5 linked regions of the Oryctolagus cuniculus genome follow. The protein of the gene in region 5 purifies or fractionates together with the protein of the main gene of each other region. This does not show direct contact. Links are inferred from orthologs where the notes say so. Each region holds a gene or a part of one and is shown on either strand. Other genes may lie near its edges.

What was found.
Region 1: the proteins of PTPN5 (region 5) and MAPK1 purify together in Homo sapiens (affinity purification with mass spectrometry; 4 studies listed by BioGRID and IntAct, with this or other methods). This does not show direct contact. The link is inferred for Oryctolagus cuniculus from reciprocal best matches to the Homo sapiens genes PTPN5 and MAPK1.
Region 2: the proteins of PTPN5 (region 5) and MAPK3 purify together in Homo sapiens (affinity purification with mass spectrometry; 4 studies listed by BioGRID and IntAct, with this or other methods). This does not show direct contact. The link is inferred for Oryctolagus cuniculus from reciprocal best matches to the Homo sapiens genes PTPN5 and MAPK3.
Region 3: the proteins of PTPN5 (region 5) and ATP5PO purify together in Homo sapiens (affinity purification with mass spectrometry; 3 studies listed by BioGRID and IntAct, with this or other methods). This does not show direct contact. The link is inferred for Oryctolagus cuniculus from reciprocal best matches to the Homo sapiens genes PTPN5 and ATP5PO.
Region 4: the proteins of PTPN5 (region 5) and MAPK14 purify together in Homo sapiens (affinity purification with mass spectrometry; 3 studies listed by BioGRID and IntAct, with this or other methods). This does not show direct contact. The link is inferred for Oryctolagus cuniculus from reciprocal best matches to the Homo sapiens genes PTPN5 and MAPK14.

Annotation. Positions count from the first base shown.
Region 1 is NC_091452.1:28,976,399-28,980,807, reverse strand, and holds the start of MAPK1 (mitogen-activated protein kinase 1), read right to left. Parts: upstream 3,057-4,409; 5' UTR 2,918-3,056; coding exon 2,799-2,917; intron 1-2,798. UniProt on the Homo sapiens protein: Serine/threonine kinase which acts as an essential component of the MAP kinase signal transduction pathway. MAPK1/ERK2 and MAPK3/ERK1 are the 2 MAPKs which play an important role in the MAPK/ERK cascade.
Region 2 is NC_091450.1:7,472,523-7,476,972, forward strand, and holds the start of MAPK3 (mitogen-activated protein kinase 3), read right to left. Parts: upstream 3,002-4,450; coding exon 2,829-3,001; intron 1,865-2,828; coding exon 1,682-1,864; intron 14-1,681; coding exon 1-13.
Region 3 is NC_091435.1:11,127,036-11,130,121, reverse strand, and holds the end of ATP5PO (ATP synthase subunit O, mitochondrial), read right to left. Parts: intron 1,902-3,086; coding exon 1,815-1,901; intron 870-1,814; coding exon 756-869; downstream 1-755. UniProt on the Homo sapiens protein: Subunit OSCP, of the mitochondrial membrane ATP synthase complex (F(1)F(0) ATP synthase or Complex V) that produces ATP from ADP in the presence of a proton gradient across the membrane which is generated by electron transport complexes of the respiratory chain.
Region 4 is NC_091436.1:133,478,756-133,483,118, reverse strand, and holds the start of MAPK14 (mitogen-activated protein kinase 14), read left to right. Parts: upstream 1-1,346; 5' UTR 1,347-1,709; coding exon 1,710-1,825; intron 1,826-2,417; exon of another isoform or gene 2,418-2,552; intron 2,553-4,363. UniProt on the Homo sapiens protein: Serine/threonine kinase which acts as an essential component of the MAP kinase signal transduction pathway.
Region 5 is NC_091432.1:47,657,699-47,661,940, forward strand, and holds the start of PTPN5 (tyrosine-protein phosphatase non-receptor type 5), read left to right. Parts: upstream 1-1,387; 5' UTR 1,388-1,835; intron 1,836-4,242. UniProt on the Homo sapiens protein: May regulate the activity of several effector molecules involved in synaptic plasticity and neuronal cell survival, including MAPKs, Src family kinases and NMDA receptors.

The sequences.
Region 1 (4,409 bases), on a different chromosome or scaffold from region 5:
AAGAAACTAATTCAAAAATTGAAAAAAAAAAAAACTTGCAAATAGCCAAAACTCTAAGTATTTCTAGAATCACTGTTGTTTTTTTAAATCGCTATTCAATATTAACATTTTAGGGCCGGTGCCGCGGCTCAGTAGGCTAATCCTACGCCTTGCGGCCCTAGCACACCGGGTTCTAGTCCCGGTCGGGGCGCCAGATTCTGTCCCGGTTGCCCCTCTTCCAGGCCAGCTCTCTGCTGTGGCCCGGGAGTGCAGTGGAGGATGGCCCAAGTGCTTGGGCCCTGCACCCCACGGGAGACCAGGAGAGGCACCTGGCTTCGGATTAGCGCAGTGCACCGGCCGTGGTGCGCCGGCCACGGCAGCCATTGGAGGGTGAACCAATGGCAAAAAGGAAGACCTTTCTCTCTGTCTCTCTCTCTCTCTCACTGTCCACTCTGCCTGTCAAAAAAAAAAATAAATAAATAAATAAAAAATTTAACCACGAAGTCCTCCATAACCCCAGCACTGTATTTATCAAAAGCCAAACAATGTGCAGTATAGATTAACGGCAGGTTGTATCACCAACTTGCAATAATCTGTAATCTGGGCCCACGATTCAAATGTCAATTATATTTGTTTTATTTCAAAAGAGAAAATTACAGCAAGAGAAGTTAGCACTTCAACTGGAGACAGAGGTTGGATTAGTCTACAGCAGTGACAGAAACAGCTTCTAAATCGACATCACCCTCAGATTAAAGAAAAAAATCTCATCAGCTAAGGGAAAAAAATGCTTTCAACTGACATATCCTAAAGATTTTTTTTCAGTTCATATTTTATATAATTAAAGGGGGGAGGGGTGTCAAAGGGCATGACGGGCAATCCTGAGCCTCTCATGAGATAGTCACTGGTGTACTCACCAGCAGGCATGACAACAATAACACGTGTGACACAGAAGGGATACCAGGGGCAGTACTTTCTTTATTTTTTAAATTATTTTAATTTTTTGACAGGCAGAGTGGACAGTGAGAGAGAGAGACAGAGAGAAAGGTCTTCTTTTTGCCGTTGGTTCACCCTCCAATGGCCGGCGCGGCCGGCGCACCGCGCTGATCTGATGGCAGGAGCCAGGTGCTTCTCCTGGTCTCCCATGGGGTGCAGGGCCCAAGCACTTGGGCCATCCTCCACTGCACTCCCGGGCCACAGCAGAGAGTTGACCTGGAAGAGGGGCAACTGGGACAGAATCCGGTGCCCCGACCGGGACTAGAACCTGGGGTGCCGGTACCGCAGGTGGAGGATTAGCCTAGTGAGCCGTGGCGCCGGCCTCCAGTACTTTTTCAGAGCCTAATTTCTTTCAGGCCTGACCTAATTTCTCTTTTCACTTCTTAGCTGGGGTGGGGGTGGGGGTGGGGGTGGGGGTGGGGGGAAGTCATGCTAATTTTCACAGCTGTATACTGGGGAGCAATTCGCTCCTAAAGCAAACGAAAACATGCAGGATTCAATTATTCAAAAATAATTCCAACTACTTCTATCTAGTCAAGGTGATTGGTAAAGCAAGTGCTCCATGGCATTTCTGAAGTCATCATCACTCAGATTTGCATACGTTTCTTAAACAGACTCGCACACAGCAGTAAAAGAGGCTAAAAATCCCGAAATTATCACTGATGCTATTTTAAGGGACGCTGGGTGTACCACAAAGATCTCAGGCTTCAATCTCAAGACTGACACTTTCTTCTATGACCTTAGAAAATTGGCACCTAACAGAGGGATATTACCAGCTTTTCCTTTGGGGTGGGGTGGGGGGGCTGTTCAAATAAAATACGGATGTGGCACACAGTAAGGGGCACGAAGCAGTCCACAAATTAGTGCTCAGTTACTTCATTCATCAGGAAAAGACACACTCATGAGACTGAGAAGCAGGAGAATCTACTTCTGCACGAAGCGCCTCTTCCGAGGGAGCCTTGCGTGTGACTGTGCAAAAAAAGTCCCCGAAAGGCGGAATGTATACACTGACCGCTAAAATACCAACAGCAAAACCCTCGGTCCTCGGGCCAACACGACAGGATGCATCTATACTGGTTAGGAGCTCACCTGAGAGGAGGGAAGAGAGGGAGAGGAAAAAAAAAAAAAAAAAAAGAGCAAATTGGGCCCAACTGCAAGCAGATTTAATAAACCAAGAGGGATGCCGGCTGCTTATTCCTGAAACGCACGGTAACACATGCATGCCCGTTTAAACATTAAAAAAAAAAAAAAAACTGCAAGACGAATTCTTCATACAAGCCACACTGCCGACCTGGGTGCTTTTTCGGAAGGCCTGCTCAGGCGAGCACCAGCTAACGACCGCTGAGGGACAGACACTTCACGCACAGCCGGCCGCCGTTCCGCACACACGCAGGGTCCAACCGCGTCCAAGCCCAGGGCCATGCATCTGACGGCATTCCCGGCTTCGCGAGCACCCCGGGGCGCGACGGATGCTTCCGTTCCCCTCCTGGGCTGGGGATCGGGAATCTGGGCTTGCAATCTACATTTCTGAAATCTTGGGGGGTGGGGTGGAGGAGCCGGGCTGGAAACCCAGCGGCTATCCGGTGCAGGGCGTCCGCGGGTCCCGGCCTCCGCCCCCCTGCGGCGAGCGAGGGCCCGGCCCGGGACCGGCCACCGGCCACGAGCAGCGACATCTTAAACCTCGAGCCGGGGCCCTGCCCGAGGGAGCCCGGGACTGGGGTCGACCGCTGCGCGGGAGGCCGAGACGCGGGCGAGGCCGCGGCGCATCCGCTGCAGCCCCGGGCGGGGGAGCGGGCCAGGCCTGCGGGGCGGGCGCCGACACTCACCACACCATGCCGTAGGCGCCCTCGCCGATGTACGAGAGGTTGGTGTAGCGCGGCCCCACGTCGAACACCTGCCCGCGGACCATCTCCGGGCCCGTGCCCGCCGCCGCCGCCGCCGCCATGTTGGCTGCCGGGCCGCCGCCGCCGCGCTGGGCTCGACGCTCCGCGGCCGCCGCTCCGCTCCCGCCGCGCTTCCCCAAGGGACCGCGCCGCCGTCCGTGCAGCCGCCGCAGCTGACCGCCAAAGAGGCAGGACGGCGCCGCTTTCGGGGAAGCGGAGAGCCGACGTCCGCTCGCCTCGACTGCCCGTCTCACTTACTGACTGACGGGCGGGCCCGCGGGCGGAGGGAGGGGCGCGCGCCGAGCAGGGCGCCGGGGCGGGGCCGAGCAGCGTGCTCGAGGATTGGCTGCCTGCGGCTGGGGGCGGGGCCGCGCGGGCCGGCGGAAGCGGCGAGCTCAGGGCGGAGCGCTGCGGCGGCGGCGGCGGCGGCGGCGGCGGCTGCGGAGGAGGCGCCGAAGGGCGCGGTCACGTGCGTTCGCTGGTGAGTCGGCGCGGGAGGCGGCTGAGGAGACGCTGAGAGCGGAATGGGGAGACGGGGCGTCACGGGGCTGACCCTGAGGGGCCGGGGCTGGGGCCGGGCGGCGAGCTCGGGCAGTGCGGGGGAAGACGAACGACGCTGCACACGTGGGCTTCGGGCCCTCTGGGGCCCAAACGCTCTGAACAACTTAGGAGGTGTGGAGATTATGTTAGGAACCAGAATACGTGGTCCAGACCGAAGAAGAGATTTGAGTACTGAGAACGTGTGAGACAGGAGAGGCCGAGTGGGTCTGCCCTTAGATCCGCCCTCGTAGAAGATAACTTCCGGAGAGAGGTTTCTCAGGCTGAGGTACTTTCTATGGAGAAATGTCAAGCAGAGTAAGGGGCAGAGAGGAGTGGGTTGAGACACCTGAGGAAGACTCGAGTTGCCACTGTGAGACCGAGACCCATGTTAGGCCGGATGGACATGAGCTTTGAGACGTAGAACGTACTGAGCTGGAAACACCAGGGTGGAATCGCTAAAACCAATAGTCACAGACACATGAGAGGCTGAAAATTAAAAAACTGCAATCTTGAAGCAGACGGATGCCAAGGAAGCTCAGGCCACGCGGTGGAAGATGGGCCAGCCACCGCCTCGGAACCATTTCCTTGCCGTCTGCAGAGGGAAGTGAGAAGGCAGACTCCCCTCATAGCCTTCAGAGCTGCTAATTCGAGACGGCTGGAAATCAATAAAGATTAGCCAGTCAGTCTGGCGCGTTAAAAGCCCTGTGGGAGAGAAAAAAAATAGTGTTACATAAGGGGAAAAAAGTGCTACACCCAAAAGTGAGTTCAAATGTTAGTCCGTGAAGCAGAACCCAATTTTGAAAACACCTAATTCTTATTCTTGATTCTGAAAGGACATTGCATCTCTTTTTAAAAACAGGATGATGAGGCCGGCGCCGCGGCTCAGTAGGCTAATCCTCCACCTTGCGGCGCCGGCACACCGGGTTCTAGTCCCGGTCGGGGCGCCGGATTCTGTCCCGGTTGCCCCTCTTCCAGGCCAGCCCTCTGCTGTGGCCAGGGAGTGCAGTGGAGGAT
Region 2 (4,450 bases), on a different chromosome or scaffold from region 5:
CTGCACGATGTAGCTGGGAACGGCCCGAGACCCCGCCCCTCCCCCAGGCAGGGGGCAGGGGGCAGGGGGAGGCACGCAGTTAAGGAAATCAGGTTCTGGTGATGCGGCTGCACGTCCCCGCACGTCCCCTCACCTGGGGTCCCCGGGACCCGGCAGATCTGCTAACCCCTGTCAAGAGCCGGGCTGAACTCAGCAGCAGGGCACAGGGCCTCTCACACCCCCGGCAGGTGACCCCGAGCATTCTCTCCTGCGGCCCTGGGAAATGGGGCTACTAACAAGCTGTCCAGGGCCGGAGAACATGCCGGTTCAGAGTGACAGCTCCAGGGTCCACCCAGTAATGCCTCAAATCTCCACTGGGGACTTAAAAAAAAAAATCACTGAAATTGATTCTGGTGCAAAAAACCCCGTCAAAGTCCACTAATTCAAGGGGTCTTCAAAAAGCTCCTGGGGGGCTGGCGCTGTGGCATAGCGGGTAATGCTGCCGCCTGCAACACCAGCATCCCATACGGGCACTGGTTCGGGTCCCGGCTGCTCCACCTCTGATCCAGCTCCCTGTTAACGTGCCTGAGACAGCAGTAGAAGATGGCCCAAAAGGTTGGGCCCCTGTACCCATGTGGGAGACCCAGAGGAAGCTCCTGGCTCTTGGCCCAGCCTGGCCCAGCCCTGGTCATTGTGGCCATTTGGGGAGTGAACCAGCAGATAGAAGACCTCTCTCTCTCTCTAATTCTGCCTTCCAAATAAATAAATCTTAAAAAAAAATTATCCAAGTATTTTGATTTTTTTGCATGAAAATAAAATGCCTGCCTGTTTGTGGGAGGACAATGAGAGAGGAGACACCCCCCACAGCACACCTGCTCAGAGAACATCTGGCCCGGCCTAGATCTCCTGTGTTCTCTCAAAGGGAAATGCAGTGACTTGCCCCAGGTCACACGGCAAGCTGGGTGAGTATGGAAATCTCCCGTCCCTGGTCTGTGGCAGGGCTCTGGCCATGGCACCCAAATCCCCACCCTTGGATGGAGGACTGGACTGGGACCAGCAGGTGGTATGGGTGGGTGGCGAGGAGGCGACGTGTGTCGCAAGGCCAGGTTGAGCCAGGCCGGAAGTGGACAAGGAGCAAGAAAAGCACTCTTGGGGGAGGGCATTAAGGCTAAGCTGTCCCTCCCTGGGCAAGGGGCAGGTGCGCGGGTGACCAGGGCGAGGCTCTGAGCAGGAAGTCCCAGAGAAAGATAAGGACCAGCTCCCGCGTGGGGGAGGGGTGAGGCAGCCACAGAGACACCTGCTTGGGGGCTGTTCCGGGCCTCAGTCCCCTCATCCTTGGGACCCAAAGGCAGGGGTAGCACCTGACACGCAGTAGGCCCTCAAGAAAAAGCAGTTTTCTTCCTCCCTGCTGTCTTTCCAGTCTGGGGATCCAGAGAGAAAGAATCACCAGTCTGTTCAGCAAGAAGTGACCGTGGGCAGAGCAGGTCACATAACTGCAGACAGCAGAAAACAAAGAGCCCAAAGAGACCTTGGCGCCCAGGCTCCCCATGGAGGCTTGGGGCAAAGAAGGGACCTGTCCAAGGTCCCCCTGCCTGACAGCCGCAGGTCAGGGGGGGAGGGGCCTCTGGCCTGTCACTGCCTTCATTTGGGAGGGTGGCAGGGCAGGGGGGAGCCCAGCTCTGGAGGCCCAGGGGTAGGATACACATCCCTCATGGCTTCCAGGGTGGGAGCCCGAAGAATGTCCCGGATGCCGATGACGTTCTCATGGGAGAAGCGTAGCAGGATCTGGATCTCCCTCAGCGTGCGCTGGCAGTAGGTCTGGTGTTCGAAGGGACTGATCTTCTTGATGGCCACGCGGGTCTTGCGCACGTGGTCATAGGCTGAGCTGAGAGGCCCAGAGAGACGTCGCTGCTGGTGTGGCCATGATGGTGGTGGTGATGGGGGGGGGGGAGCGGGAACCAGGCCCAGCGGGCCCCACCCAGGCCAGGGGCAGGGAGGGAGGGGACAGAGCAGGAGAGGGCTCTGGCCAAGTTATAAACAATGCTCGTTCCTTCCTGCTGTGAAGGCCTGGGCTCTCCAGGGAGAAAGCTGGGGACCAGCCAGGCCGCCTTTCGGTGACTTCACAAACAGAGGAAGACTGGCCACTCGCTGACTTCCCCTCTGCTTGACCCCCTTCCATTCTGCCCAAGCCCGGGCCTCCCTCCCCACCATGGGCTGCCTCAACCCACCACAGGGCCAGGGAGCGGGACCGAGGGGCGGGTCTGGGCCGAGGACAGCAGAGCAACTTCCGGTCGGTGCAAAGGCCCAAAGCACACAGTAGGGCTGGGCCAGCTCCCAGACCCCTCCCCAAGATGCAGGCAAGCAGGCACTCCCCACCTCTCCTCAGGCCCGGAGGCCCGAAGCCTCGCCCCACCCAGAGCCCTGCCTGTGCCGCTCCACTCCTGGGCACAGCCTCGCTTGGGGACTCCAAGGCACCCTAAGGTCCCCTCTCTCAAAAGAGGGTCCTCGTTCACCAAGACTACTGATTCTCGTCGCCCCACGCGGGTCTCTAGGGCCACCGCTCCCTCAACCCCAGACACCCAAATACCGCTGCTCCCTTCGGGGCGGAGGGCTCCCGTTCAAAGCCTCCAAGCCCCCTCCCCTAGGAACATGGGCAGCGCCCCCTCCCCCAGAAAGCACCCCAGGGCTCCTATCCCGGGCATACTCCACCAAGCCTCCAGAGTGCCCAGGTTCTACAGGCCACTCCAAGTCTCCACGGCCCAACGAGCCCCCTGCAGCCCTCCTCCGCCCCCTCCTCCGGGGTTGCCCCCTCCCTTGAGGCCGCCCCCTCCCCCGGAACGCCCCCTCACCTGACCATGCCGTACGCGCCCTCGCCGATGTACTGCAGCTGCGTGTAGCGTGGGCCCACGTCGAACGGCTGCCCCTTCACGACCTCCACTTCCCCGGGGACCCCCGGGCCGACCCCATCGGCTCCCCGGGGCTCCCCGCCCCCGCCCCCCTGAGCCGCCGCCGCCGCCGCCATCTCCACTCCTCCCCTCCCGCCCGCCCTCCCCACGGCGGCCCCGCCCGAGGCCCCGCCCCTTCCCGCCCGCGGGGCCGCGCGCGCCAGGCCCCGCCCCCGCGCGCCGCCCCCGCGCGCCCCCGCGCCCCCGCGCCCTGCGCGCGCCGCGGAGCCGGGGCGCGCGCCCGCGGACGTCACGTGGCCCTCCCCGCGCGCGTCCGGCTTTCCCGCCGCCGGGCAGCGGTGCTTGGTCGCTGCGGGCTTCCGTGTGCTGGGAGCGGGCGCGCCGGGCGGCTGTAGGCGCGGTCCATACCCCCTCGATTTCTAGGCAGCTGGCGGGTGACTTCCCCAGGGCCACCCGGCCAAGGTGTGCTGGGGCCGGACGCCCCCCACCCCGGAGTGCCTGGCCTTCTGGGACCAGAGCTGCTCCTGTGGGAGCCCCCTGGGGGTCCTCTCGGCCCTTGGTGGTTTGGCCTCCTTGAGCCAGCTCTGCTCGGCTGCCGAGGGAGTGTACTTGAAATCAGAGCCGCGTGGAGACCCACCTGCCGTTTAAGGGTGAGGCCGAAGCCCGAGGTGCTGCTGCCGGCGTGGGGTCCAGGCCCTGGCCCTCCCAGCAGCTGCAGCAGGGCCAGCTGTTGCCCCCACGTGCGTGCCAGGTGGGCAGGTTTCGTTAAAATACACTTGAAGAAGGAAAGAATCTGGGGCGGCGCTGTGACATAGCAGGTGCATCCGATATGCATCTCGGCTGCTCCACTTCCAATCCCGCTCCCTGCTAATGGCCTGAGAAAGCAGCCAAAGACAGCCAAAGTGCTTGGGCCCCTGCGTCCATGTGGGCCCATCCAGATGAGTCTCCTGGCTCCCGCCTGGCCCAGCTCTGGTTATTGGGGCCATTTGGGGACTGAATCAGGAGATGGAAGATTGACTTTCTCTCTCTCTGCCTCTCCTTCTCTGTAACTCTTTTAAAGTAATTAATCAATTAATCTTAAAAAGAAAAATCCAGCTTGTTGGATTTGGCAAAATTGAACTCACAAGAGGGTTGTCATCTTCCTGATTCTCTCAGTAGGCTGAGAGGGGCCAAGGTCAATCTTGTTCCTCACTGGATCCCCACCTCCCACCCCCATGCCTGGCACTGAAACATTAAAAAAATTTTCTTTTTGATGAATGAATCAAATTTTAAAAATATATTTCCTTTTTATTTGAAAGGCAGAGTTACACACAGAGAGAGATCTTCCATCCACTGCTTCACGCCTCAAATGGCCCCAATGGCCAGAGCTGGGCCAGGTGGAAGCCAGGAGCTTCTTCCAGGTCTCCCATGTGAGTGCAGGGACCCAAGCACTTGGACCATCTTCTATTGCTTTCCCAGGCCACAGCAGGGAGCTGGGTCGGAAGAGGAGCAGTGGAGATTTGAACCAGAGTCAGATTTTGCAGCTGGAGAATCTGAGAGCTGGGTTAACTTGGGTGAGGTCAGCG
Region 3 (3,086 bases), on a different chromosome or scaffold from region 5:
GCTGGGCTGCAGGGTGCAGCTGCATGCCTCACTGCCCAGGGGGTCGTCCCAGCGTGGTCCTCTCCCCCCGCCCAACAGCAGCTCTGGGAAAGAACCAGCTGCCAGCCCTCTTGGAGAGCGACCAGGGAGTGGGTGCCCAAAGCTGCTGCCTGGGGAACTTGATTTCTCTGGCAGCATCTCAAGTCACAGGGGCACAGGACGTGCCTAAGATTCCTCTGCCCCCAGCTTCATCAGGACAGGACGCAGCGTGAGTGACAGTGGACCAGCATGCCACGGCCTGACCCCTGACCCTGACCCAGCAGCTCGAGGCCTGCGAACCTGGGCATACTCGTGCTCTCCCGTGTGAAGGCGGTGATGCGGTGGGCGGTCACAAGGCTGTCGCAAAGCCTACCGGAGATGAAGGCGGAGAGCAGCCGACTGGCAGCTGTGTTAGTTCAGGGTCAAGGGCGTTTCAGCGAGAGCAGGCAGGGCAAGAGCCGCCTGGTGGTCGCCAGGGATGCGGAGTTGCACCCGCCCTAAGGCCCAGCTGCACTTTGTTGAGGGAGCGGGTGCAGCATGCGTGTTTACCCAATTCCCAAGAATAACCCGCACTGACCCACTCTGCGGCCAACAGGACCTGCACACCAGGGGCTACTGGAAGACAGACACAGACCAAGGCCCTGGGCTCCGCGGAGACGGTCAGCGACACGGGCTGTTCAGAAAGCGCTTTATTGTTGCTCCAAGCGCCAGGGTTTCCACCGACAGAAAACCACGGCTCACATAATCTCTCGCATGGCCTTGCTCAGCTTCTGAATCTTGGTTTTTGCAGACATATCGACGTACTTCTCTCCAATGCGGACAATCATCCCACCCATGATCGACGGGTCCGTCTAGGGGAGGAAACACGTCAGAGTATGACAGTGCACGGCCTTGGCTCAGCAGCCACGCGGGCAGGCGAGAGAGTGCTAAGCACACAGCACAACCGCTTCTGGAGAAAGGCCAGCGCGAAGCTGCCCGGAAGCAGGTCGTCTACACTGACAACTAAGTTAACATTCATTCTTCAGAATCTGATTTAATGTTCGCTACACTCTGGCCTCAGAATCAGCCCTTGCAGCATTCAGATCCGGCTAAAAAGCCCATAAGTTTCTCAGGCTTGGAAAGCCAAGACACTGTGGCAAAAAACAAACAAACAAACAAACAAAAAAACCAACCTAAATGAAAGATCTCTGTGAGTGAGATCCCAGTGAAAACAAGGGGCCATCAAAGAAGGAGGTACCTTTCTCTGAAGGGAGAACTTCCACTTTGACTATGGCCTTGTCTGTGGTCGGAGTTTGTGCACTCAAGAGGCTTCCATAGCCTTGGCAGCTCATGACAAGAGCCTCGGGTGATTACTGACATCATAAATAAGAGTGTCAATTGCTAAATCAACAACAGGAGTCGCTGTGCACCTACTCCCCATGTAGGATCTCTGTCCTTAATGAGTTGCACTATGAGAATTAATGGTAAAACTACTACTCAAACAGTACTTTATACTTTGTGTGTCTGTGTGGGTGCAAACTGTTGAAGTCTTTACTTAGTACAGAGTTGGTCTTCTGTGTAATTAAAAATGAATCCTAGTGAAGAATGGGATGGGAGAGCAGGAGGTGGGACGGGAGTGGGGGCGGAAGGGCGGGTATGGGGGAAGAACCGCTAGAATCCGAAAGCTGTACCTAGGAAATTTATATTTATTAAATAAAAGCTTTCTTTAAAAAATTGTTCTCTAAGACTCCCTCAAGCCATTTTACGTCTCGAGTCACCTGGAAAAGGTCCCAGACAGCGGACAACTGAAGACCTACCTTGACCTCCAGCTTCAGCACCTGGCCTTGGCTGAGGAAGCTCTTCAGGACCGTCTTCAGCTCGGAGAGAGTGGCTTCCTCTAGAGGCTGAAACGTGGGACAGCAGCCTTCAACCAAGGAAGGAGACGCGACGGCACAGAGCCATGCCCGGCTCGCGAACCCCGTCTCACCCAGGCCCCGGGTGGGGACGCACACCCACTGCCCCTGTGCTGCTGGTCAGGTCAGAGGGGCCCCGCCTCCTGAGCACAGCCGGGCAACTCGGCTGCGGCACCAGTGCCCACGCACGCACTCCCGCCTGTCCTGAGAGGAGCCCCCGAGGCCGCCACGGCCTGCTGACGCACGTCTGCCTGCACTGGGGCCATGGCGCTCCTCCGGGCTCCCCGAGGGGATGACGCGCTGCTTAACCTGGCTCTAGTCTTCGGCTTCCCAGTCAGGTCCACGGCTCCCTGGCCCCCTGAAGCTCCGGCCCGCCGCCACCCTGCCGCGAGAACCGCTCGGGGAGACCCTGGGGCTGGCTCTGTCCTGCACGCTGCGTCCTCTCCGCTCAGCCCCGACACTCGCTCCTGGTTGGTTAGCTGAGCACGGGAAAGGCTGCCCACGCCAGCAACTGATCTAACAGCGTCGTCTGCCGGGTGGTGGCGGGGAGTCGGTCGGGGCTCCATGAAAACGCGCTCCGCCTAGGCTTTGCCTCCTCCAGCCCAGGACCAGGGGCACTGGCACCCGAGTGCCTTCGTCAGGACAGCGACTGTATGCCCACACCACACAGGAACCGGCCGTCCGGGTGGCTGGGGACTTGCCTGAGGCCGCTCAGCGCGTGCACTTCCAAAGCCCGCGTCCTCAGTGACTGATTGGGTGTGCTTCCCCCCCCCAACTCCCGGAAGTTTACAGAGCTAACAGTTGGTTCTAAGAAGCTCCTGCAAAAAATAAGCCACCTTGGGCCACGCTGGAACCACGAGTCTAGATGAGGCGGGGCTGGGGACTCCAGGTAACCCCAGCACCCTGCGCCGATGCTTATGCCGCAGGGGCGCCAGCAAGGAAACACGCAGCTAAGACCACAGAACTGTCTCTGGAGAGGAGACGGGGTGCAGCAAGGAATGCAGATATCGTGTGTCCCTGGTGGTCTAGTGGCTAGGATAGGGTTGCAGGCAGAGACAGAGAGGCCCGGGTCTGAATCCTGTCCCGCCTTGCGCAAGCCCGGGGCAAGCGACTCCATTCCAGCGTCTGTAAAGTGAGGACAGTCACTCCCACCTCCCGCGGATCGTCTCGTGGTCA
Region 4 (4,363 bases), on a different chromosome or scaffold from region 5:
CGTTCAAAGCAGAGGCGGGAGATAAGCTTCCAGGCACCGTCGTCAGCCACTCACTCTACCAATATTGACCGAGCGAGCGCCCGCGACGTGCGGGACCCCGCTGCGGGCGGCGGACCCAGCCCGGCCCGCGACCCGCGACTCTCTGCCTGCAGCCCCGCCTCCCGGGCGGCCCTGGCAGCAGCTCACCTGTTTCCCCGCCCGAGGCGGGAGTGCGGCGGGCGGCTCGGGTCTCCCAGGGCTCTGGCCTGGCTGGCAGCGCTGCCGACCCGGACGCCGGCGGTTCCCGAGCCGTTGCGGCCGAACCCGCGGGCGTTCGGGGCGGGCGGGCAACGAGAGCGGGGGCGAGGAAGGAGAACACGGCCGTGGGAGCCCTCGGCCCCTGTCCTGGGGTGGCCCTCAAAGGATCGGAGGACAAGATAGACTCCCATCCTTGCGCTCAGGGTAGCAGGCGTTAGCACGGGCCGGGCCAGCACCAGTAGGTATGGGCCTGGGGTTACAACACTTGCCCACTCGCGGGTATTTTCTTGTCCCTATGAGGTGGGAACGGAGGACCGGAGTTCTCTTGCAACTGAGCAGGGCCTACCGGCTTGCCTAAAAGCGACATTGCCACAAGCGCACTCCCTGCTCCTCCGCCTTCCTGGGAGAGCCCCCACTTAAAATCTCCAAGTCCTCTTCTCAGGACTGCTCTTGGGGCCGAAGTCGGTTTATAAGCTTCGGGGCCACGGCTTTTAAGACACATCAGAGCCACCTGTACGGCCCCGACCCCCGCAGAGGCCCCTGAGGGTCCCGGGGCGACCTTTGCACCCGTTCGGGTGCAAAGTCTCGGCTTCCAGCGGGGCTAATATTTGTCTTTGGGGCCGATTTCGTCAGCGTCCCGGAGGGTTAGCCATCTGTCCATGAGCACACGGGAATGCGACGGCCTTCTGACTGGAACCAGTTTTTGACGCCGGTATTTCTTGGAAACGGCGGAGTTCCACCGAGCAGGTGCTCGGCCGCAGTTCCAAGATCTGTTGGCTCTTTTCCCGACACGCTTACTCGTCCCCGTCGCTCTCCGCAGTGGTCAGGCACTACAGCCCCACCAACCACAGTGGGGCGCGCGCGGCCTGTGGTGCGCGAGCATCCCCGCCTTAGCCGTCCGCCTCGGCGCCCCGAAGAACAGTCCCCGGGAGTTCCTGCCTCTGGGCTCCAGCTGTTGCTCTCTTCTCGCGAGAACTGCTCCTCCGGCGCTCTCTCCTCCCGAACCCCCTCCCGCGGGGAGGTTCCATATTGGGTAAAATCTCGGCTCGCGGAGAGTCCCGGGAGCTGATCTCGCGAGAGGACGGCAGGCGGCTCCTGTTCGCTGGCTCTGGAACTGCGACCACTGGAGCCTCAGCTGGCGCTGCAACTGGAGCGGGAGTCCAGCGGCACGGCCCGCCGTCGGCCCGGCCCGGGAGAGGGTGCAGGGAGACCCCGGCGGGCGCAGCCCTCAGCCTCGGAGCGCGCTCCTGCCCTTTGCCGGGCTCGCCTCGGTCCCTGAGGCGCGTCCAGCAGCTGCAGCTGACAGGGGCCGCACGCGCGGGTGTCTGCGGGGGTCTCAGCAGCCGCACCTGCGCGGCGGCCAGCGCGAGGTCCCCGCCCGCCTGGGCGGGCGACGAGGGCCGGGGAGCGGGCGTGGGTGCAGGCGGGGGCACCTCAGGGCCACCTCCTCGCCCCGCGGCCGTCGCTGGAAAATGTCTCAGGAGAGGCCCACGTTCTATCGGCAGGAGCTGAACAAGACAATCTGGGAGGTGCCCGAGCGTTACCAGAATCTGTCCCCGGTGGGCTCTGGCGCCTATGGCTCCGTGTGGTGAGTGTTGCTAGGCCCGGGGCCGCGGTGGGTAGGGTGGCCCCTGGTGCCCGAGGGCCAGGCCTGCCCCCGCGGCTCCGCTATGCGCCCAGCGGCAGGAATTTCCCCCGAGGGAGAGCATGGCTGTCCCTGCACCCCCTGCATCCCGCAGCCTGCACGCCCAGGGCGGTGGTCCATTGCGTGCAGGCGCAGGTCCGCTGTGGGCGGTAGGTGGTGGTGCTGGCTGGAGCTCGCTCCTGGCGCACGCCCTGCGCTTTCGTTTCGCTGAGCGCTGCTCCCCCCCGGGGGGCAGGCCCTGGGGGAGGGGCGGCTGTTCTGCGGGGAGCTGGGGAGGGGGGTCCCTACGAACACTTTGCAGAAGGACCCTCTCCCGGGGGTGCACCCGTCCCGGGGGCGCGGACGACCCGGGGAGCTGCGGGAGAAAGCAGAACCCGGTTGGGAGATCGGGTGGTCTGAACAAAACTGACGACGAAGGTAGCCCCCTCCAGGCTTTTCTTTCTTTCCTTCTTTTTTGCAAACCTCTGTGGAAATCCCGTCTGGAGAAGCGTTCTTTTTGAATTCGCAGCGACCCATAGGGCTTAAAATATCGGCTTTATCTCGGCGAGCCCTGTGCCAGCTTGAGTGGTGTGTTTCCGATTCGGTCGAGAGCGTGTTTCCTTTCCGTGGAGGGCGGCGGTGGTGGCTGCCGCTTGAGAAACTGGCGGCCTGGCTGATTAGTCACATACCACTGCTCATTTAAAGTATTGTTTGACGAAGCAGGGTTCTCACGGGGAGCAGGGGAGCCTCGGATCCCTCCGCCGCGTGCCCTCGAAACCCAAAAGTCGCTCACGGTGCAGGGAGCTACTGTGAATATTTGAAAGTTGAGATAATTCCTGTGAATCGTGTATTTTTAAGGCCCCTTGGAGAGTGTGCAGAGACCTTATCTGTGGCTATGGCCTGAGATACACTTGGTTTTCGTTAGGATCGGGAACTTCCAGGAGAAGAAAGTTAGACACCGGCCAGCTGTCCTTTACAAGGTGCCTGTATTTAAGTTGACACCAGGACATTTCCAGACCTGAAGTATTTCACTGACTTCTCTAACTTCCAAGGCCTTAGACACTGTATTTTATACTTAGTATCTTTTGAGAGCTCCTGATCTGAAACTAAGTGTCCGGCTTCATAGTAAGCTTTTTCCTGTTTTATCAATTCCTGGGCATGCATGGGTGGAAAAGGAGCTAGGAAAATGCTTTTTTTGTTTTGTTTTGTTCGGAACAAATTCCAGGCTTTTGGATTTGTTCATCTTTAAATATGATTCCCGTGTTTCTTAAAATCACATCATGAATTTCCTGTTTGGTAGAATCTTCTGGGTAATTGAGATTGTGCAATTGTGTCCAGCAACAGATCGTATTGCATTTTCTAGTTCAAGCCGCTTGAGTAATGCTGCAGGTGTCACCGTGGCTGACATCTTTCTCCCACTTTTACGCTGTGGCAGTTAACCTTTTCAAGGAATTTGAAGCTTTTTTAGTTAGTATATATACTAGTTATTGATTTGCTAATTTTCAGAGGTGTATTTAGATAATTGCTCCTTTAAAATTTAAGGACTCTGTGGCCAGCGCTGTGGTGCTGTTATCCCACATGTGCGCAGACTTGAGTCCTGGTGGCTCCACTTCTGATCCAGCTCTCTACTGTGGCCTGGGAAAGCAATGGAAGATGGCCCAAGTCCTTGGGCCCCTGCACCCAGGTGGGAGATCCAGAGGAGACTCCTGGCTCCTGGCTTCAAATCAGCCCAGCTCTGGCCTTTACAGCAGATGAAAGACCTTTCTCTATGTCTCTCTTCTCTCTGTCTGTAACTCTATCACTCAAATAAAATCTTTGAAAAAAAAATTTATGGGCTCATTAATATACCTCCATTTTTCATTCTTTTTAAGGTTTTATTTATTTATTTGAGAGGTAGAGTTACAGGCAGTTGAAAGGGAGAGATGGAGAGATAGGTCTTCAATCCGCCAGTTCACTCCCCAAATGGTCACAACCGCTGGAGGTGGGCCAATCTGAAGCCAGGAGCCAGGAGCTTCTTCTAGATCTCCCACATGAGTACAGGTGCTTAAAAATTGAGCCATTTTCTACTGCTTTCCCAGGCCTCAACAGAGAACTGGATCGGAAGAGGAGCAGCCGAGAATCAAACTGCCGGGACTCAAACTGGCACCCATATGGAGATTTAACCTACTGCACCACAGTGCCACCCCCTCCATTTTCCATTTTTTTTAAAAAAAATTATGTATTTGAAAGGCAGAGTTAGAGGGAGAGAGAGAGAGAGAAAGCTTCTCCCTGGTTCACTCCTCAAATGGCTGTAACAACCAGGGCTGGGTTAGGCTGAAGTCAGGCACCTGGAACTTCATCCTGGTCTCCCATGTGGGTGAAGGGGCCCAAGCACTTGGGCCATCTTCTGCTGCTTTCCCAGATACGTTAGCTGGGAGATGTATAGAAGTGGAGCAGCCAGGACTCCAACTGGAGTGCATATGGGATACCAGCTTTGCAGGCAGCAGGTTTAACTTGCTGTGC
Region 5 (4,242 bases):
CTTGCCACTCAGGTAGGATACCTGGATTGAGGTCCAGACTCCTGGCTTCAGCCTGGAACTGGATCAGAAGCTGAGGCAAGCACTCTGATACGGTGTGCAGGCTTCCTAAGTGTAGCCTTTACCATTGTACCAAACACCAACCCACAGGCCAGCAATTCTAAGTAGAAATCAGATGGCCACAGAAGATCTCCTTTTGAGAGACACATTTTGAAGCAGTAAAGGAGCCAGCCATGAGACTATCTGGCGAAAGAGTTTCTGGGCAGACACTAATGGTGCAAAGGTCCTGAGACCACAGGGTGGTGCCATGTTGGTGTTGGTGATATATTAAAAATGCCAGGATGGCCAGAGCTCCGGGAAGTGACAGAGTGATAGGAAGTGAGGTTTGAGAGCTAAAAGGAAGCCAGCTCATGCAGAGCCTCGCAGGTCATTGTAGAGGCTCAGCTCCCACTTGGATGAAATGGAAAGCCATTGCAGGATTTCCAGAGAAGGAAAAAACACCATCGGACTTGTTTTGAAAGGATCGCTCTGACTGCTGTGTGAAGACCCAACTGCAGGGGGCCGAGGGTGGCCGCTGGGAGACCAGTAAAGAGGCCATTGAGGAAATCCAGGCTAAGGAGGCCAGTGGCTGGAACCAGGGTGGCAGCCGTGGCGGGGGCTTGCCTGCATGTCCCGCTGTAAAAATGGAGCTTAGGGTCCCTCTCTGTGTGCTGCTCAAAGCCCCAAGGAGCCCCCGTAGAGAAGGAGTCTTGGGAACCTCGAGCCAGCGGGGTGCCAGTGGGAGCAATGTTGAATTGGGGGGTGCATAGGCAGCTCCCTGCACCTGCCAGCCCTTGGTGCCCAGGAGAAAGCCAGGGCAGGTGCGCGCCCCGCCCCTCCTCGTGACGCACGTCAGGAAGGCGAGAGTCCGTGGAGGGAGCGAGGTAGCCGCCTCGCTCTCACTCCCCAGGGACTGGACAGGGAGAAATGCGGAAATTCGCCTTCTCCGAGCCCCGGAACGGGTCTTGGATGCCCCGCACTGCGTGCGCCCCGGTGTCCGACCCGCTCGGCGTGCGCAGCTGTGGGCATGGTGCAGGGAATGTCACAGCACCCCTCCGCACACCGCCCCCCCCCACACCCCCGTTCTGACCCTTTGTCTCACTGGCCCTTACCCCAGTCTGTCTGCCAGTCTGTCCCCCTCCAGGTTGGGTGCGCACGGCCAGGCGGGGATCCCTCTGGCTGTTGCCGTAGCCGCACAGCCCCGACCCGGGGCTCCAGGGAGGAGAAAATCATGAATGAAATGGATGCGGTGCTCCCATGCCCCCGCCCTCCCGGTCCAGGCAACCTTGGCGTGGGGGCGGCGCCTGCGAGGACTCCGCACAGAGTTGCGGGGGTGGAGGTGGGGCTGAGACGAATTCAGGGGTTAGGGTCGGTGATCCGGCTCCCCTTGCCCCCCAGGCGCTGCTGGAGCTCCCCGCCCCCAGCCCCGCCGGCCCTGCGCAATTCCCGGGGAGCGGCGCAAGCCCGCCCGGAGGCGGGGCGGAGCCGGGGCTGGGGGGTGCGGAACCGACCCCGCGGCTGCGCCAGCGACTCCGCAGCTGAAGCGCATTTGGTGGGGCGGACGGGCGAGGGAGCGCGCACGGAGCGCGGGACGGACAGACGGACGGACGCCCCCGCACACGCAGACGCACAGAGCTCGGCCCCTGTCTCTCTCACACACACACACTCTCGCGCACACACAAGGACACACACACACACACACACGCAGACACACAAGCACCCGCGCGCGCACATCCTCCCGCCAGCCTGCCCGCCAGCTCGCCCGCCAGCTCGCCGGCGCCCGGAGCCCGCTCTGGCCGGTAAGTGCTGCGCCTCCGTCGGCGCCTTTGTGTGGGGCGCCCGAAGGCGGGGGGCGCGGGATCCTCCTAGGGTAGCCTGGCAGCTGAGACCTCCTCCAGCCCTCCGGGGCTTGGAGCCGGCGTCCGCCCCCGCCACGCCCCCACGGGGTTCCCGGCGCCCCCGGACTGGGGGAGGGGCCCCCCACGCTGGAGAGGTGGCCCGGCCCCTGGAAGCCCGGAGGGAGCGGCAGCCACTCCCCACGAAGCTCTTGCGCTGTTCCAGGGAGGGACTAGCGTGACGGTCCAGGGTCCGAGCCTCTGCGGCCCTGGGTAGTGCGCGGCTCTGGGCTGCATCGCCTCTCGAGTCTGAACCCCGGGATGGGGAGGGGGGACCTAGAAATCGCTAGCCTGCTGGCCTCCCCAAGCCGCAGCTCCCCCGCCGCCGCCACCACCATTGCTTCGCCTCCCCCAACCCTTTAGCTTTGGCCACTCGCATCCCACCCACTCCCAAAATAAAAGCCCTGTGCGTCCCCCTCCCCCAGCATGCCGCTTTTTTTCCTGGGGAAGGCCCAGGCTCCTGCAAAACCCGGGAGAATGCCCAGGAGCCTTGGGGGGCTTACGTTTTTCCAGGATCACGTGGCTGAGAGGGCCCAGGACCTTAAAAACCTCAGGAACCCATTTCGTCCCTTTATTTCACATATAGAGAAACTGAGGCCAGATGAGGTGGCTTAACCAAGGTCACAGGAGAATTAGTCACAAAGCCTGCATTGTGGTCGCTGGCTTTCATACTCACAGCCCCCCCCCCCCTCCCGCGCGCACAGGTCTACAGTTAGATCTGATCCCCATTGAAACCCCACAAGCCCAGAATTTACCACAGTGTAATTCCAGCCCTGCCCCCACCTGGAGCCAGGTGCCATTCATTTGCTTTTCTCTCCCTCTCTCTCTCTTTTTTTTTTTTTTTTTTTTAAAAAAAGGCCTTTGATTTGCCTCATTCAGCCTCAAAGAAGAACCGTCTTAGGTGCAGCCACTCCAGGTTTGGGACTTAGATTGAGAGAGTGAGGCAATCCTGGACCAGAGATGAGATTTTTCCCAGGAGCCATTGAGCTGGAGTGTCCTCACTGAGACCAGATGATGTGGCATCCAAAGATTCACCCTCTTCATCTGCCTGATGCCCTCCTGGTCACTCTCCCCTCCTCCTCAAGGGCCCAGTCTTTCTAACTGAACCAGACCCCTTTCGTCACGCCAGTCTGGATGTCCCCAAGTCCTTGTTGGCCGGCCACTTCTTCCTCTTGGTATCTGTTAAGTGTAGCCTCTGGGTATTGCTGACAAAGCTGCCGGGGGAAGCTGGGGTTGCAGGTGATGCCTCCGGGGCAGCTGCGAGCCCTCAGAGCTCAGCCCCATGCCTGGTGCAGAGACGTGGCCCTGGCAACTGTGTTGCCAGAGTTGGAGCAGAGCTGGATGCTGCTTGGGATCGCTGGCCCGGAGGGCAGTGTTCCGTCGGTGAGGGTCTGGGGTGCTTGTCTCAAGAACTTCTCCCTTGAGTGGGGAAAGCAGCAGAGCATGGAGCAGAGACTTGGTGACCACATGCCAAGCCCCCAGCAGCCGCTGCTGACACCCTAGCCCGTGCGTCCCTGCAGGACTCTGCTCCAGGAAGCGCCATTTCCACTGACTTCATAGTGAGTGCTGGGCCCTGGGTCTCTGCCATGCAGGGAAGCCCTTTTTTATCTAACTGGTGTGCGCCCAGTTTTCCTGTCCCACTCTGTGAGGCAGTAATTTCTGACTCAAGGAGATGATGCATGGAGAGTGTTTTTACAGTGCCTGACCATGGCCTAGAGAAAGCTCGGGGATTGGTGGCTGTTAATACCATTAGGGCCCTAGCTTGATGCCTATGGCCTGCACTTCTTCCCTTCTTCAGATCACCCAAGAATGTGCAATTTTAGGACCTCAAAGTCCTCCTCCCTCAAACAAGTCCCTCCCCCACTGACCTATTCCTGGACTTACTGCCCAGACTGCCTGAGACACCCGGCAGACCTCCCTGGAAGGAGCAGCACTTTTGTTTTTAAGTTTTTTGGCACCTTGGCATGATTGATTGAATAATTAATCTTTATGTGGTATCAAAGCTTTTCTTACACTCTGTCACTTATTCTTCTTAACACCCCCATGCTATCAATAGTATTACAACCCCATTTTTCAGATGGGGAAGTTGAGGCTGAGACTTTATCTCAGGGTGCATACCTTAAGGGTATCAGAATCAGAGGGATGGGCTTCCAGCTAAGAAGGTCTGAGTCCAGATTCTGAACTCTTTCCTCAACATCGTATTGCCTGTCCTTTCTCGAGGCTCACCCTAAAAGACAGGCAGATGACCCCTTGGAAGGAGTTGAGCCAGGAGGATTTGATTCTCATGGAGGATCGGGAGTGGTGCCTTGGA